Linked DNA regions of Drosophila melanogaster. The protein of the gene in region 1 binds, or shares a complex with, the protein of each later gene. Each region holds a gene or a part of one and is shown in the gene's direction. Other genes may lie near its edges. The genes, in order: Spt20, Ada1-1 and Ada1-2.

Region 1 (3,755 bases):
AGTGCCGGATACCAGCCGCACGAGGCAGGCAACAGCGAGAGGGAGCGGGAACGGGAGCGGGATCGAGAGGATCGCGACATGGACAGTCCCATTGACATGTCGGTGACGACGGGAGCTCTGAAGCAGAGAGCCTCACCGCCGCCACCCTATCGCGAACCCTTGCCTGGGACCAACTACGCGGCCAACAGTCGACCCAGCGTCATTACCCAGGCTCCACCCAAGCGAGAACCACCGGAGCAGGCCCACTCTACAGGTGAGAAGTCATATATGCACATTAGTGTCAACGATCATACTAACCTGATGCTTTGATTTGCCTTGCAGATATGGCGATGTGCGACATTGACGAGCACTTCCGACGCTCACTGGGCGAGAACTATGCTGCCCTGTTCGCCAAGAAGTCACCGACGCCTACGCCAACACCCACGCCCTCGCCAAGTGGTACACCTAAGCAGCAGGTTTCGCCACTGGCCTACGGACTGCCTTCATCAACCAGCACAGCGGCATCGCAGCACTACCAGCAGCAACGCTCGCCGCTGGCCAAGTCGGGATGGGTCATTCTGGAGCCCGAATCGCTGCAGCCGGAACTGCCGCCGCCGCAGGAGGAACCGCTTCCCCTGTCGCTGGCACTGCATCGCACCCAAACGCCGCCATCGCCGCCACCTTCGGCCACGGGATCGGCACCAGCGCTACCCACGGCCGTCAGCCAGGTGATGGAGGCAGCGGTGGCGGGCAGGCGGATCCTGGACACGCCACACCACACGCCGCCGAGATACAACACACCACCGCCTCCACCGCCGGCTTACGGAATAGCCGGAACCACCGTTGTGGCGCCGACTTTGACACCGACACCAACTCCGAATCCGACGCCGTCGCAGATTCCCACGCCCACGCCCAGCATGCCGGCCATCATTCGGGTGAAGGCTGAACCGGGACTGGCGGCCGTGGCTGCCTCCTCGACGCAGACGCCGCCCGCTTCGCCCACCTCGTCCACGAATATCTCGATATTCACCAAGACTGAAGCCTCGGTGGACGACCACTTTGCCAAGGCGCTGGGCGAAACTTGGAAGAAGCTGCAGGGCGGGCACAAGGAGTAGAGGAGGAGCAAGCGAGCAAATCACCCACCAACCCGCACACAACCCGATCCCGATCCCGATCCCAATTCCCAACAGAACTCAACACAACCCAACCCAAAAGCAACCCCTGATCCTCAACGATTCAACTCAAGAGCTGTTTTTATTATAAATATTTCAAACTACACAATTAACGTTTAAAGATCTCATGCTGATGTGAACGGAAATTCTTCAACTGCGAGTGTATTACAAGTTTCTGATATAATGATTTTATTGAATATTGATAACGGTTAGCGCGCGGATATAATTATATATATATATATATGAATATTTACATATATATGGATAAATGTGTATGACAAAGTGTATACGTACAAGTGACAAAATTTTGTATTCTTAACGCTTAGTTGGTAGAGACTAATCCTTAATAATATACCTATTAAACATAAGTAAACAATCCTACAAAGTCTGTCTATTCATTCACCGAAAGTGGGAAATAAACTGCAAAATTTCAGATTTTGAATTGCATATTTTGAATTTTCAAATGACTGTTGGGCGGCTAACAGAGCGTTAACAGCGCGCGCCTAACAGCACACAGTGCATGGGCAGCCAATGTGCACACACCACTAACGGCAGACGGAACGGCGACAATGCCATTCACAGCGAACGATAACGATTGTTGGCATTCGCACGGCACGAATCGTACAGTACATTTACATTGCAAAAAAAAGCATAAAACAAAGTTTTAAAACAATTAAAAGCGAGCAATCCTCGGCGTATCATTAAAGAACCAGCCCACTGTTCGCCCCATAACCGCAGCAGAGCGCGCGACCTTGCAAATTCACGGAGCAGCAGCGCCAGAAAGAGAGTTCGTCGGCAGAGGGGCGCAGAGAGAAAATGTCACGCAAAGCAGCAGCAGCAGTGGAAGTGGAAAAAGAGTGAAGAAACCGCAGTAATCGCCATCGGGATCCGATCTCAGTGTCCTCCAGTGCAGCGATTCGTCACACAGACGGACCGAGGAGCACCCCAAAACGATCCTGATGCGGCACAGCCGAGTGCTGAGTGTGGCGAAACTAACCGATGGACAGCAGCAGCAGCAGCAGCAGCCAGCGAAAGTAGGAGACAACAACGGAGCCCTGCGTCTGCGGTCCTAGAAATTCGTAATTCGACGTTCACTGGCAACACGGACACCTGCTAGCGCAATGCGAATGCCGCCGATCCTGGCCAGGATTGTTCGTAGACTGGTGCTTGGATGTCGTCGGTAATTGGGTGCGCCATCCTCCGTTGGATCTCCCCTAGCAATCCGCTGGCACCACCATGCAAAGCCTGGACTCCTCATGCCAAGAAGCCGACGTAAGAACTGTGGCATTTTTCATGCAGCCTGAATACGATTAATTCCCATTTTACACTTTATTTTTCGACAGTTTATTATAAATGACACGCTCAAAAAGTTAAAGGGTTCCAGCAACGCGGACCATGTCCAGGGCCTAGCGGTCCACGCCCACGGTTCGGGTGTCCACCAGACGCAGTTCGTCCAGTACGGCACGTCTGGATCCTCGCCGCAGCTGCAGCCGCAGCAGTCCTACCATCAGCTGCATCCCACGCTCCAGCAGCAGCAGTTCGCCTCCTCGAGCAGCAAATCGTACCTGGAGACCAGCCTATTGCAGGCTATACCACAGATTCCTGCCCAGCCGCCCATTTGTATCTTCGATGACGACGAGTCCCCCACCGAGGGCACTGGCGGCTCACTGGGCAGCCTGCTCACGGAGCCGACCTCGGCCACGCCCAGCGGCCTGCCCACTGCAATTGCTCCGTCGCCCTCCTCGTGCTCATCCTCCACCACAACGATGTCGAACTTCAACTCAATCACGTCGCCGTCGCCGGTGGTGCCCGATCTTCTGCTGTCGACACCGCCGGGCGTTAACTCCAGTCTAAGCAATAGCTCAACGGGAGCGGCCAGTGTGTCCAGCAAGAAGTCCGAGAAGCGGCCACCCTCCGCCAACTCAACAGCCAGTGGAGGCGGCCACCACCTGCACCATCATCACCTCCACCAGACGCACAATCACCATGTCCTGGCATCGCCCACGTCGTCGCCCAGCAAGCGCCAGAAGTCCAATAGCAGTAGCAAGGAGAGCAGCTCCTCTAGTCGCAGCTCAGCTATACCCGCCGCATCAGTCTCCACAGCCACCTCGTCGTCGCAATCAGCGCGCGCTGGCGCCGGCGCTGCCTCCTCCAATAGCAACAGCAAGCCACCTTCATCCGTCTGCCAGTCGGGCAACAGCAAGTTCTTTAATCTGCACGAGAAAATAAGGGACCTGTACCTGCAACTGCTGAGCAACGACCTAAACTACTTTGCCGAGACAGGGGTAAGTGTTGAGCCAATCAAAAGCGGAAACCTTATGTAAGGACTCTTATCACTTTCAGCTAAAGCAGCGCACTCGATCCTTTACACTGGAGCGGTTGGTGGATCGGGAGAAGCTCAACACGATTGTGGTCAACTTGTATCCCGGCAATAAGGGATACTCGCTGGCCCTGCATTATGACGAGCACATGGTGCTAAATCCGCAAACAAACGAATGGTCCCCCACGGACAAGGACGAGACCTCGAGCGATGCTGCGGGATTGGGTACGGGAACGGGCAGTCATCGGAGTCGTCCCAAGCCGCTAGCCCAGGACGAAAGTCAA
Region 2 (3,540 bases), on another chromosome or scaffold:
CACCTCCTCGAAGGATTGGTCCTGAATAAAGTTGGGGAAATTCGCTTTGTCCTTAAAGGGTCCGTAGGCGGACAAAGGCCACATCTTGCCATTGAGGCTGGATTCCATGTCGGCTTTGAGATATTGCCTAAAATAATTAAGTTATTAGTTCATCTGCATAGTTTTAATATCAATGTACTCACTTAACATCGAAATGCTCGTTGTTGCACTTTGCGCCATAGCGGCAGGAGCCTTGTTGAAAGAACCGGCAGACAACCATATTTAAATTTGATTTTAATTTTTGCCTATTTCCTATATTTATTATTTCAAAACTGCTTCAACTTTTGTACTTTTGTTTATAATTGTCTTACTTTGCGTATTGAGTATTCTTTGAGTATTTTATGGCTCACTGAGAAAAATATACCGTGCCTATGCGCGCAATTTCGTGAATTCGTAACTTAAGTTCGCTGAATGATTAAGATAATTTTGTAAGCAAACATATTTAAGATGAAAACTGGTTTTTGAAAATATAGTTCCTTGTAAATTATACATTAAGTGCGAATATATCTGAAAAATATTGGTTTCTTGCACAGATGCTATTCATTTTTCATATGTTCAAAGAAATTCAGAAACTTGCTTCTGCATAATCGAATCAGATAATTTTAAAGTGAATTCCGGAGTCCTTTGGTATATCTCGTGCCGCCGAATACGGTCCCACTGATTGTGAAATCCGTGATAACGAATTTTAACACCAGAATTTCTAGGATTCCATCAGAATGCAAAAAGTGCTGGGACGCATCCAGGCGCAGGTCCTCCGCTCCCGGGCGACGAATGCATTAGCCAATGTGGTTAGACACGAGGCCACCTCCTCCAGGACAGCGGCTAAACCAGCCGCCACATCCAAAGGTAAGCGGATCCTCCAAGATGCACAGTTACCGCTTACCAAAATCGTATTCGTTCGTAGAATTCCGGGAGAGACAGGTGCGATTCAACATAAAGAACGAACAGACCGAGGGTAGACCACTTTACCTGGATGCCCAGGCCACCACTCCAATGGACCCACGTGTATTGGACGCTATGCTCCCCTATCTGACCAATTTCTACGGAAATCTGGTTCGTACGCTTCGCCTTCAACGCCTGGCAAAAGATTCTGGCCTTGGGCAATCAACTGGGCACAACATTTGTCTGGGAATTGGACTGCAATGATCCCAATTTAACAAAGTGTAGCCAGCTGGTTCATCCCAAAAGCAACTCCACCATCCGACAGACTTCCTTCTCCAAAGACGGTTCCATTTTAGTTTGCGTGTGCGACGACAGCACCGTGTGGCGATGGGATCGCGTCAATTAGGATGAGTGTTTCTAGGCTAAAAGAATTTTCCTTATCCTTCTAAATCCGATACCATATTTATGTAACCATAGTTATTTTCAGTGTAATGTTTACCTTCAATATTAAGTATGTTCTTATGCGTAGCATTTATATACAATACTCATTGTATTGACAATTTATGTTAAATTATGTTAAATTTTTTAACATTAACCAAGATATTTATTCTATTCTATTACTTTTTTAATGATCAAATAGCTTCGCAAATATTATCATCTTATGTTGTGTGAATGGCGTGGGCTCTATCTTTAATGTTTATATTTTAACTAACTAACTTGTACACAATAAAAACTGTGAACACTAAAGATTAAAACCAATATTTTTTTAAAGGGTTCTTCAAAAATAACGGTTTTTATCTCAAATGTATCTGGTATTTTCAGCCGTTCTTTGAACGGTCACTCGAATCAGCTGCATTCATTTGTTTATATAGCAATTCGCAAACAGTTGGATTTTCCTGTTTAGTTGTTATTCCCAATACTAAAATGCTTACCGACAGAGTTCTGGCCACCAAGGAGGCGCTAGTGGTGGCTCTGGGCGACAACTGGGAGCGTTACCGGGCCAACATGAAGAATTGGTTTCGGAGCCGTTGGACTAAGGAGGAATTCGATGCGGAGTCGCGGAAAATCCTAACACCTGACAAACTGCACCTGCACAATCAGTTCCTGCTCGCCCTGCTCAACAAGATCGACGCCTTTGCTCCCCTGGAGAATCCTCCGGCCGTCCAGACCAGCAGCAGTAGTGGCAACCGAAGCAAACGGCGCAAAAGAAGTTGCCGCACCTTCGCCGAACGCCTTAATTTTGAGCTCAGCGACGTCCTGGACTTTGTAGCCGAGGACAACATGCAAATCATTCGTCCGCCAACCACGATCGGTATTCCGTCGGACCAGCAACAGCAACAGCTTCAGTCGCAGCGGTACTGCGCGCAGGAACTTTTCCTGCCCGACGCGGGATTCATTATGGGACGATTTCTGATCGGTGCCTGGGAAATCGGACTTGTCTCCGTGGACGACAATGTCGCCGAGTACGTTGCCATGGCCGTGCAAGTTCTGCTCAAGGATCTACTATCGGCAATCATCAAGAAACGAAAGCACTACAAGACCAGCGGCGAGGGAAACTTTTACTACGATGTAGGTGCTCCGTTGCGTGATCCTTCGCTGCGCAACACCGTCACCCGGCAGAAGGTCGACGACACGCCGCTGGAACTGGACAAGGAACTGAATACGGCCAACTTTATGCGGCGACAGAACGACGATGTGACCTTCCTCTCCGCCTGCGAAGAAGTGTAAGCTCCTGAATAATAATGAGATTTTCATGTGAAACACAAACTTAGGTTTTGTTTCTTTCAGCCAACCCACCGAACGCACAGTAATCACCCTCAAGGACTGCCAACTGGCCTTACGGGATCGCAACCTGATAGGCTCGCATGCCGTCTACTCCATAAACATGGAACGACTCAATATGATGATGCATTAGCTTATAAGTTCTAATTATTTTATTATATCAGCTTCTGTAAAAATATATACATTATACGCTAGTGTACCATTAAGTGTTTGGTTCAGCAAAGATTCCGTGGAGGCGGTTTGAATGGCAAGGCACCTGGTAGAAATTGATCCGCCTTGAATGCTTCGATTTCCTGCTCGTTGAGATCCTCCATGCGACTGTAAACTGAGGACTGGATTTCGTTGGTCGGTTGAGCTTGCTGCTGCTGCTGCTGCTGCATCATTTGCTGTTGCTGTTGCATTTGAAATTGTTGTTGCTGCTGCATTTGTTGCTATTGCATCTGCTGCTGCTGATGCATTTGTTGCTGTTGCATCTGTTGCTGCTGCTGCATCTGTTGCTGCTGCTGCATCTGTTGTTGATTAGGGAATGCAGATGCTGCTGCTTGAGCAAATAATCCGGAGGCAGCTGCCTGCTGCTGCTGTTGTAGTTGCTGAGAAGCCTGAGTAAACATTCCGCCCATATTTTGGCTTGCGGCTTGGCCAAAGATTCCCGTCGACTGCGGTTGCTGCTGCTGCTGTTGGAAACCACCGAAAGGATTAGGATTCACTGGCTGAGCTTGCACCTGAACCTGCGCCTGGGCGAAAATGTTGCCCCCTTGGAAAGCTTGTGCAGCAGGCTGCAGCTGTTGCTGCTGTGGCTGTCCAAAGACACTTTGTGCACCTGTTGCCGCAGCTCCT
Region 3 (3,470 bases), on another chromosome or scaffold:
AGCCGGATGATGAGCACGAAGTTAATTCCGTGGATCGGGAGGACACCGCCAGTTTGTTCAGCACTACTACGACCACCACCAGAAGCAAATCGCCAAATACACGAAAATTGAACCGCCTGTGTCGGCGGATCAAGGCACCCAAAATGGTTCAGCCCTTGTACAAATATAGGTGTGATTTTTCCAGGCAGAACATAAGTCATAATGTTTATATCCCGGATGCATTGCAGCTCCCATGTCCGCGAGGACCACAACCATCAGATCTTCGGAGTGCAGTTCAATCCGTTCCTGGACAGAGGCCAGCCGCAGGTGTTCGCCACCGTTGGCAAGGATCGGGTTTCCATTTATGAGTGCGAGAGGAGCACCGGACAGGAGTCCTGCGAAGGCATTCGACTGCTGCAAGTCTACGCAGACCCAGATGTAAGTACTCATCATATGCTATTACTTACATACATCATCGTTACGCCCTCGTTAGACCGATGAAAGTTTCTACACATGCGCTTGGTCCTACGACTCTGTGACCGGCGATCCTGTGCTTGCCGCGGCTGGTTACCGCGGCGTCATTCGCATATTCAATCCGGTTAAGCACCAGTGCAGCAAAAACTACATTGGTCACGGGCACGCCATTAACGAGCTGAAGTTTCATCCGACTAGACCGCAGTTACTTCTGTCCGGCAGCAAGGATCACTCCCTGCGCCTTTGGAACATTCAGTCGGACGTGTGTGTGGCGGTTTTCGGCGGCGTAGAAGGACACCGCGACGAAGTGTTGTCTGTGGACTTTGATTTGCGCGGTGATCGCATCATGTCCAGTGGAATGGATCACTCACTGAAGCTCTGGCGACTGGATAAGCCCGATATAAAAGAGGCCATCGAGCTGAGCTCTGGTTTTAGTCCCAACAAGAATACGGGTCCGTTTCCCACGATCAAGGAGCACTTTCCGGACTTCTCGACAAGGGATATACATCGAAATTATGTGGATTGCGTTCAGTGGTTCGGCGACTTTGTCTTTTCGAAATCCTGCGAGAACTCAATTGTTTGCTGGAAGCCGGGCAAACTTTCAGAATCGTGGCATGAGATTAAGCCACAGGAGTCGGCCACCACGGTGCTGCATCACTTTGACTACAAGATGTGCGAGATCTGGTTCGTACGCTTCGCCTTCAACGCCTGGCAAAAGATTCTGGCCTTGGGCAATCAACTGGGCACAACATTTGTCTGGGAATTGGACTGCAATGATCCCAATTTAACAAAGTGTAGCCAGCTGGTTCATCCCAAAAGCAACTCCACCATCCGACAGACTTCCTTCTCCAAAGACGGTTCCATTTTAGTTTGCGTGTGCGACGACAGCACCGTGTGGCGATGGGATCGCGTCAATTAGGATGAGTGTTTCTAGGCTAAAAGAATTTTCCTTATCCTTCTAAATCCGATACCATATTTATGTAACCATAGTTATTTTCAGTGTAATGTTTACCTTCAATATTAAGTATGTTATTATGCGTAGCATTTATATACAATACTCATTGTATTGACAATTTATGTTAAATTATGTTAAATTTTTTAACATTAACCAAGATATTTATTCTATTCTATTACTTTTTTAATGATCAAATAGCTTCGCAAATATTATCATCTTATGTTGTGTGAATGGCGTGGGCTCTATCTTTAATGTTTATATTTTAACTAACTAACTTGTACACAATAAAAACTGTGAACACTAAAGATTAAAACCAATATTTTTTTAAAGGGTTCTTCAAAAATAACGGTTTTTATCTCAAATGTATCTGGTATTTTCAGCCGTTCTTTGAACGGTCACTCGAATCAGCTGCATTCATTTGTTTATATAGCAATTCGCAAACAGTTGGATTTTCCTGTTTAGTTGTTATTCCCATTACTAAAATGCTTACCGACAGAGTTCTGGCCACCAAGGAGGCGCTAGTGGTGGCTCTGGGCGACAACTGGGAGCGTTACCGGGCCAACATGAAGAATTGGTTTCGGAGCCGTTGGACTAAGGAGGAATTCGATGCGGAGTCGCGGAAAATCCTAACACCTGACAAACTGCACCTGCACAATCAGTTCCTGCTCGCCCTGCTCAACAAGATCGACGCCTTTGCTCCCCTGGAGAATCCTCCGGCCGTCCAGACCAGCAGCAGTAGTGGCAACCGAAGCAAACGGCGCAAAAGAAGTTCCCGCACCTTCGCCGAACGCCTTAATTTTGAGCTCAGCGACGTCCTGGACTTTGTAGCCGAGGACAACATGCAAATCATTCGTCCGCCAACCACGATCGGTATTCCGTCGGACCAGCAACAGCAACAGCTTCAGTCGCAGCGGTACTGCGCGCAGGAACTTTTCCTGCCCGACGCGGGATTCATTATGGGACGATTTCTGATCGGTGCCTGGGAAATCGGACTTGTCTCCGTGGACGACAATGTCGCCGAGTACGTTGCCATGGCCGTGCAAGTTCTGCTCAAGGATCTACTATCGGCAATCATCAAGAAACGAAAGCACTACAAGACCAGCGGCGAGGGAAACTTTTACTACGATGTAGGTGCTCCGTTGCGTGATCCTTCGCTGCGCAACACCGTCACCCGGCAGAAGGTCGACGACACGCCGCTGGAACTGGACAAGGAACTGAATACGGCCAACTTTATGCGGCGACAGAACGACGATGTGACCTTCCTCTCCGCCTGCGAAGAAGTGTAAGCTCCTGAATAATAATGAGATTTTCATGTGAAACACAAACTTAGGTTTTGTTTCTTTCAGCCAACCCACCGAACGCACAGTAATCACCCTCAAGGACTGCCAACTGGCCTTACGGGATCGCAACCTGATAGGCTCGCATGCCGTCTACTCTATAAACATGGAACGACTCAATATGATGATGCATTAGCTTATAAGTTCTAATTATTTTATTATATCAGCTTCTGTAAAAATATATACATTATACGCTAGTGTACCATTAAGTGTTTGGTTCAGCAAAAATTCCGTGGAGGCGGTTTGAATGGCAAGGCACCTGGTAGAAATTGATCCGCCTTGAATGCTTCGATTTCCTGCTCGTTGAGATCCTCCATGCGACTGTAAACTGAGGACTGGATTTCGTTGGTCGGTTGAGCTTGCTGCTGCTGCTGCTGCATCATTTGCTGTTGCTGTTGCATTTGAAATTGTTGTTGCTGCTGCTGCATTTGTTGCTGTTGCATCTGCTGCTGCTGATGCATTTGTTGCTGTTGCATCTGTTGCTGCTGCTGCATCTGTTGCTGCTGCTGCATCTGTTGTTGATTAGGGAATGCAGATGCTGCTGCTTGAGCAAATAATCCGGAGGCAGCTGCCTGCTGCTGCTGTTGTAGTTGCTGAGAAGCCTGAGTAAACATTCCGCCCATATTTTGGCTTGCGGCTTGGCCAAAGATTCCCGTCGACTGTGGTTGCTGCTGCTGCTGTTGGAAACCACCGAAAGGATTAGGATTCACTGGCTGAGCTTGCAC

The links.
Region 2: Spt20 (region 1) and Ada1-1 share a complex: the UniProt entries of both Drosophila melanogaster proteins name them as parts of the spt-Ada-Gcn5 acetyltransferase (SAGA) complex.
Region 3: Spt20 (region 1) and Ada1-2 share a complex: the UniProt entries of both Drosophila melanogaster proteins name them as parts of the spt-Ada-Gcn5 acetyltransferase (SAGA) complex.

The regions. Positions count from the first base shown.
Region 1 is NT_037436.4:13,500,962-13,504,716, forward strand, and holds the start of Spt20 (Spt20), read left to right. Parts: upstream 1-1,745; 5' UTR 1,746-2,387; coding exon 2,388-2,423; intron 2,424-2,494; coding exon 2,495-3,436; intron 3,437-3,494; coding exon 3,495-3,755. Other genes in the region: Tgi (Tondu-domain-containing growth inhibitor), read left to right, coding at 1-253, 322-1,094. UniProt on the Drosophila melanogaster protein: Component of the transcription regulatory complex SAGA, a multiprotein complex that activates transcription by remodeling chromatin and mediating histone acetylation and deubiquitination. The SAGA complex predominantly acetylates histone H3.
Region 2 is NT_033779.5:11,995,059-11,998,598, forward strand, and holds Ada1-1 (transcriptional adaptor 1-1), read left to right. Parts: upstream 1-1,750; 5' UTR 1,751-1,845; coding exon 1,846-2,645; intron 2,646-2,709; coding exon 2,710-2,836; 3' UTR 2,837-2,907; downstream 2,908-3,540. Other genes in the region: CG18789 (uncharacterized protein), read right to left, coding at 1-127, 183-259; Qtzl (quetzalcoatl), read left to right, coding at 756-885, 944-1,185. UniProt on the Drosophila melanogaster protein: Component of the transcription regulatory complex SAGA, a multiprotein complex that activates transcription by remodeling chromatin and mediating histone acetylation and deubiquitination. The SAGA complex predominantly acetylates histone H3.
Region 3 is NT_033779.5:11,991,103-11,994,572, forward strand, and holds Ada1-2 (transcriptional adaptor 1-2), read left to right. Parts: upstream 1-1,799; 5' UTR 1,800-1,890; coding exon 1,891-2,690; intron 2,691-2,754; coding exon 2,755-2,881; 3' UTR 2,882-2,952; downstream 2,953-3,470. Other genes in the region: escl, read left to right, coding at 1-169, 228-417, 473-1,372; CG18789 (uncharacterized protein), read right to left, coding at 2,964-3,470. UniProt on the Drosophila melanogaster protein: Component of the transcription regulatory complex SAGA, a multiprotein complex that activates transcription by remodeling chromatin and mediating histone acetylation and deubiquitination. The SAGA complex predominantly acetylates histone H3.